Coturnix japonica: one gene and its partner. The protein of the gene in region 1 interacts with the protein of each later gene in a pairwise test. Links are inferred from orthologs where the notes say so. Each region holds a gene or a part of one and is shown in the gene's direction. Other genes may lie near its edges.

Region 1 (3,566 bases):
AGTATTTATGGTTTGGTTTGATTTCAGTTCAGCTAATCAACTCATGAATTACTTTAAGGTATCAACTCATGAATTACTTTAAGGTATCCTTAAGAAGAGTTTATATAAAGGACTAATGGTCAGATTTTTGTCTTATCAAAGTGTTAAGAATGTGTGTTCCAGATCCTGTGCAATAGTGGTCCCTGTACCTGGGAGCCTCTGTTATCTCCAGGATGTGGGTAAACTATCAAAACAAACATAAATCAACAAATGCGTCTCCAGGAAAAATACCGTGTCAGTGTTCTCAAGTGTAAAATCTAGCTTGTCCTGTGTAGCAGTTATGATCCTGCTCTAACCACAGTGATCTGAGCAGTGAGTTGTACATTCAGTAACAATGGGCACTTGTACACTGTGGCTCTTCCAGTCTATTTGTAGGTGCCTATTCTAGCCCTTACAGAACAGCATTCATCTTGTATGTTCTGGTATCACCTGGAAAGAGGCCCTTAGGGCTCAGATCCAGTTACCAGCTTCTTTAGCCAGGTTATCATTCCTTTCATTCTTGAGTAGAATATTTCAGTGAAGATCTTTGTGTTGTATGTACTTAGAGAAGTTTATGGGGTTTTATTTTTATGATGGTATGATTAAAACTATTATTTGTTCTGTGTCAAATGAATTTGAAAGGACTGATAGGAATGTATTTTGGTTCAAAGGTACAGAATCAAAGGTTTCTGTCGGTGTTTTGAACATCAGACTTGAAATGTATCCACCACTTACTAAGACTCTGTCTCCAGAAATAACAAGCACTCAGGTAAGTAATATGTAGGGGGTGAGGGATGGCCTGTTCTTTTATCAGCAGGGGGGATGCACACTGTACAGTTATTTATGTAGATAAAGGGTCGGTTACTCTACTTGAAAAGCCAGTAAATGGTGGCCCAAAGGTGTTACAGATATTATTCCACACTTAGCAAGGTGAGTAGTCCTTCTATACAGATATGCGTCACTGAAGATGAACACTACTTCAGTCAAGCTTGATATATCAGCCTACAAACAAGAAATGTAAATTGAGTTTTACATTCATTGGATTTTCACTTTAAAATACTATTCTTTAGCATTGGTTGCATGCTGTCATATTAAACTTCATTTTTCATATGCAAGGATCATGTGCTAGTATGTATATTGATTACTTTTTGTTCTTGTTTGGAATTATTATATGTGTGAATGGTTGTGTGTATTTTCCTACCTGTAGTTTACTTTGGAACGTCAGAAGACAGCAGAAAAAGAACGTTTATTTCTTGTGTATGCTAAACAGTGGTGGAGAGAATACCTGCAGATCAGGCCTACACACAACTCAAGGCTGGTAAAGATTTTTGCACAGGTTTGTATATTTTACAAATACACCAATCTGTTCTTCAAGGTGTTTTTTTTAGTCTTAGCTGCATGTTTGAAGTTTGTGTATGTAGAATTTGTATAGATTTATGATGTGGTTAGATTCCATTCAGGGCTACATGTGATACAGTATGCTGACAATGAAGTTTTCAAGACTTGAACTATGTATACTGAAGCTGAAGAGTATGTTTCATAGAGAAAGGCTGCTCCAAGCACCCCTGGTGTAGGAGGTAGAAAAGCCATTTTAGTCTTTTCCTTGAATAAGTACAAATGGCAAATGCTTAAGTGATCTATACAAACTATTGCAGACAGGTTTTATACAGTAATAAGTAGTGGAGTTACTGGATATACTGGAGCAGATCCATATAATATTTGAGCACTCTGTGGTTAATAAAGTAATCTGGCTGGTGAATGTTGCATGGTAGTTACAGATGTGAACAAATCATTGGCTAGTAAGTTACTGTGTTGTAACTTACGTCACAATCACATCAGTTGTTCCTTGGTGACTGCCCCTCAGTAGTAGGAATGGTATGGGACTATAAGGACAGGCTGAGGGAGCTGGGCTTGTTCAGCCTGGAGAAAAGAAGGCTGCAGGGTGACCTCATTGCAGCCTTTCAGTACTTAAAGGGAGCCTACAAACAGGAGGAGAGTCAAGCCTTTGAAAGGGTAGATAACAGACAGCCAAGGGGAAATGGTTTCAAGTTGAGGGAGGGAAGATTTAGGCTGGATGTCAGGGGGAAGTTCTTTGAGAGTTGTGAGGTGCTGGAACAGGCTGCCCAGAGAGGCTGCTGATGCCCCATCCCTGGAGGTGTCCAAGGCCAGGTTGGATGGGGCCCTGGGCAACCTGGTCTACTATTAAATGGCAAGGTTGGTGGCCCTGCCTGTGGCAGGAGATTTGGAGATTCTTGATCCTTGAGGTCCCTTCCAACCTGGGCCATTCTGTGATGCTTTGTGTTTATCATGCTAATATATGAATTTAACTTGTAGAGCAGCAATTTTCCTGGCACAGATGATGAAATAACTTCCGGAAGCAATCCACACCTGCTGTTTGTCTTCAGGGAAGTGAGGTCTTCTCTTCTGGCTTCACCAGCTGTGTACGGGAGTAGTGTCAGCTTCCACGTAAGGGTGTGGTGCATTCATCTCACTGCTGAACACACCTGGTGCAGCCGGAATGGAAGCTTCACTGGAAACTAACAGTAGATAATGGATTGCTTTAGGAAGTTTTAATAGTACTATTATTTCTTTACCACGTTCAGGATGAAAATGGAGTAAACCGTCCGGTATGTTCATATATCAGACCACTTCGAGCGGGCCGGTTGCTAGACACACCTAGACAAGCAGCACGATTTGTCAGTGTCCTGGGTTATGAAAGAGCTCCTGTCATCGGAGGAGGTGGTGGCAAACAAGAGCAGTGGTGCACACTTCTTGCATTCGTATGTAGAAACAAGGTATGTAAAAACAGTCTTTGCATGACAACTTTTATAGTTGGAATGAAGTTAGTCATTTAAAACAGGTTGCAAAAGGTGGACTGAATCCATTTCAGAGAACTCATAAATGCAAATAGCTTTTATAAGATCAAATAGTGGCAGATGTTAAGTATTAGACAAGAGGGCTTTGGAGCTGACTTACTTTATTCAGTGCTGTTGCTTGAATCCTTTTTTCAATGAATCCATTGGACATCATGTGTAATGGTTCCTTAAGGGGGGAAAAATAAAAGCCATCATCACAAACATCCCCTTTTCCTCCTTCAACCCAGCTTATGTTGCTGAGCGCTATGACATGTGACATGGGACATCCTTTGGGTGGTCTGGATCAGCTGTTATCCTGTTTCTGTCCTCTCAGTTCCTTGTGTACCACAGCCCTTTATGGGCAAGGCAGCATGAAGAACTGAAATATCCTTGTGTCTGTGTAAACGCTGCTCTGCAGCACCTGCAATGGTGTGCTGTCAGCACTGTTCTCATAAAAAATCCAAAATGCAGCACCATATGAGCCTCTGTGAAGAACAATAACTCCATTGGAAGTTGTAAAAGCCTGATATACTTTGATATGGTGCATATTAAAAAGAGGAATTCAAGATTCTTAAGTTTGTAACCTTGAAGTCCTGACTTCTGGTGCATGTTTTAGGTAAATAGGAGGGAAACGCGACTTGTTAGATAACAACTGGAGAAATACTGCTTTCTTTTTCTAATGTTTTTAGCTAT
Region 2 (3,566 bases), on another chromosome or scaffold:
TTAGGTTGGATAATTTCTTCATCTGTGACACCTGCAGGGTCACAAAGCTTTCACCTCTTTTATGATATTACTTGTATTGATGATAAAAAATAAGGAATTCACTGTAGACATAAAAAAACACTAGAAGGAAACACTACAGATATTTGAATGCAAGCAATAAAAAATCATAAATGCTGATTATTTATATAGATACAACTGCAAAAAGAAGAAAGAACTTGTTGCTGTCAAAATATTTTTTAATTTAGAAAAATTAGCTAAAAAGGATATCAACCATAAGGGTATTCCCCCTTCCTATTTAATTTAGAATCTCTACTCAACCTAAGACATAAGGTTAAATAAAACTTGATAACATTTTTTCAATAAAGTAGTAGAATGATACCAGTTACCTGTGATTATAAAAAGCTTGAAATATCCATTAACACAGGTGATTTTTCAATACACAGATATACATATGTATACATACAATACAGGTATAACAGTGGTAAGTGCAATAGGAACAGCAGAGCAGCAAGATCCCAGGCTGTAGCAAATAAGGCTCTACTCAAATGTAGCAGCAGGCACAGAAATAAAAGGAATTTACTTACCTTCAGAAGGCCTCAGGTGCACAATAGTCTACAGCAAGCATTGCCTCCCTGGCCAACCTTTAAATAAGGTCTGGGAAGGGGTGGATCCTGGCTCCACCCCTTCCAGTTATTAAGGGGCATTGCTTGCACCTGAGCTCCCCTGAGCTGGCTCTGCCTTCCTACCAGGTGCTCAATCACTGCTTCAATATATGACTTAGTTTTTCCACTGCATAGGGTTAATGTCTAAGATTTCAATTATATCAGCAGTTTGGGTTTAAAGTTATTGTGCTGCAGCTTTCTACAACTGCATGGTTGTTACTGTCATTATCTTCCTGGCTTCAGTAACGAACGATATTCAGTGTCTCATTCTTTTATGGTGGCTGTGAGCAACAGATTCTAGAAATGGAATGTTCTGAAATTTAATCAAATGTCATGGTTCAGATAGTCTCATTTATTTCACTCGCATCTCTGAATTTTAAAATAAAAATAACCCAAAACCTAAATCATCCCACATTTGACAAGTTACTTTGACTGTAACAACATGATGTTTATGGCTAAGCATTCTTTAAGCACAAAATGAAACAAAATATGTTGTTGATGTCATGTACATTGCTCATTTAATTTCTGAGAGATTATGCTAGAAGGCATAATTGAAAGCACTGAAAGAGATCCAGAGTTGTTTGTTAGAGCATTTGAGGTTTTCTCCTCCTAGGAGGTACTGAAAAGTGACTTTGCTGAAGGCTCCTCATTCTTTTTCTGTTAAGTAGGTAGGGGGGTGCAAAATTTGGGACTGATGGTGAAATTATTTACATGGAGTAGAAGTATATTTGTTTTTTTGTCCCATAGAGAAAAGCTGATGAGTTCTGAACTGTAGATTTTCTGTTTGAGTTTCACTGAAGTGGGAAAATAAACAAGCATTTCAGTTACGTGCTTTCTGATCAATTTATTGCTGATGCTGTCTATTCCATGTATACAAGCTGAATTATATTACTTTGTGTTTATTCAGTACCTTCATAAAATCACAGAATCACAGAACAGCCTGGGTTGGAAGGAACCTCAAGGATCATGAATCTCCAACCCCCCACCACAGGCAGGGCCACCAACCTCCACATTTAATACTAGACCAGGCCACCCGGGGCCCCATCCAACATGGCCTTGAACACCTCCAGGGACAGAGCATCCACAGCCTCTGGGCAGCCTGTGCCAGCACCTCACCACTCTCTCTGTGAAGAACTTCCTTCCCACTGACATCCAATCTAAACCTTCCCTCCTTGAGCTTAAAACCATTCCCCCTTGTCCTATCACTGTCTATGCAAATAAGAAGTTGACTCCCCTTTTTGCAGCCCACTTTTAAATACCAGAAGGTGGCAGTGAGGTCTCCTTGCAGCCTTCTCTTCTCCAGGCTGAACAAGCCCAGTTCCCTCAGCCTGTCTTCGTAGGGGCTCCAGGCCAGGATACCATTTGCTTTCCAAGTTGCAAGCACACACTGCTGGCTCACGTTCAGTTTTTCATCCACCAGCACCCCCAGGTCCTTCAGCACAGGGTTACTCTCAAGGTGTGCTTCTCCTAGTCAGCATACATATCTGGGGTTACTCTAACCCTAGTGCAGAACACTGCACTTCGCTATGTTGAACCTCATTAGTTTGTCAAGGTCCCTCTGGATGGCATCGTTTCCTTCTAATTTGTCAGCTTCACCACTCAGCTTGGCCTCAGCAGACTTGCTGAAGGTGCACTCAAACCTATCATCAGTGCCATTGATGAAGACATTACAGAGAACCTTCATGCTGGGAATTCAAGTGCAGTATCTCTATACTAATGATTATTAACCAAATATAGGTATTTTGTTATAAGCATTAAGAAGAGGGATTAAAATTGAAGATTAAATTGATTTAATACACTTCTTATATTTTTCATGGTTTCTGGTGCTGCCAGCTCTATGTAAAACACGGGGTACTGTTTTGATTTTAAGAGCCTGTACCTTTCATTTCTTTACTTTTTAAAGTTCCGTGTTATATTTGCGATTCCTGGTTTACAATAGAAAAGTATTAATTTTCTGTAAACACCATATTTATGTAAAGGAATCAGACACCAAAGAGGTATCATGAATACCTGAGAAAACAAAATACCACTTGAACTGCTGAAGCTTACCCATGATTATTTTCAAAGCATTTTCTGCCTTAGTATGCAGAGGTTAAGAAATTAAGAACTATTTGTGACATATTACTCTTTTTACTTGCTAAACCCTCTTCACTCTGAAATGCGCTTAGTTACTTTGGAGCTTTGTTTTTACTTTTTAAACTGAGATACAAATATATTTAAATGTAATAATTCACTTCTCCTTTCAGATGGCCTTGTTATTATTGGTGTCCATTCAGCGAAGTTTCCAAACGAAAAAGTTCTGGATAACATTAAGAGTGCAGTTTTGAGGTACGATATTGGCCACCCTGTTGTAAACGATGCAGACGCAACACTGTGGCATGAACTAGAAGTGTCCTGTTGGCCAACTCTGGTCATTCTTGGACCTCGTGGAAACATGCTGTTTTCGCTTGTTGGAGAAGGGCACAAAGAGAAGTTGTTTTTATTTACTTCAATAACACTGAAATTCTACAAGGAGAGAGGACAAATTAAAGATAACAGTATTGGAATAAAGCTGTACAAAGACTCCCTCCCACCTTCTCCTCTGCTGTTTCCTGGCAAAGTGACAGTAGATAAATCAGGAGAAAGGCTGGTGATAGCTGACACTGGACATCACAGGATTTTGGTCACTCTGAAAAATGGGCAAATTCTACACACTATTGGAGGTAAGGTTATGTAAATTTTGTTATGGACTTTTTTGCTCGGGGGTGGACTACATTCTGTGGTGCTCCTATGACCTGGTGATTCATAAGCATTGGTAGAACGGTTTTTTTTCCTAGAAAAACACTTTTACTGGACATGGGAGGGATAAAGCGTAGTACTATCAATGAGAAACTCTTATGCAACTGGTTGAGTTGTCTCTAATGT

Evidence for each region.
Region 2: the proteins of CEP76 (region 1) and NHLRC2 interact in binary tests that used the Homo sapiens proteins (3 or more experiments, as listed by UniProt). The two-hybrid records come from large-scale screens. The link is inferred for Coturnix japonica from reciprocal best matches to the Homo sapiens genes CEP76 and NHLRC2.

Annotation. Positions count from the first base shown.
Region 1 is NC_029517.1:87,454,334-87,457,899, forward strand, and holds part of CEP76 (centrosomal protein of 76 kDa), read left to right. Parts: intron 1-689; coding exon 690-787; intron 788-1,225; coding exon 1,226-1,354; intron 1,355-2,621; coding exon 2,622-2,813; intron 2,814-3,566. UniProt on the Homo sapiens protein: Centrosomal protein involved in regulation of centriole duplication. Required to limit centriole duplication to once per cell cycle by preventing centriole reduplication.
Region 2 is NC_029521.1:24,468,814-24,472,379, forward strand, and holds part of NHLRC2 (NHL repeat-containing protein 2), read left to right. Parts: intron 1-2,908; coding exon 2,909-3,364; intron 3,365-3,566. UniProt on the Homo sapiens protein: Required for normal embryonic development.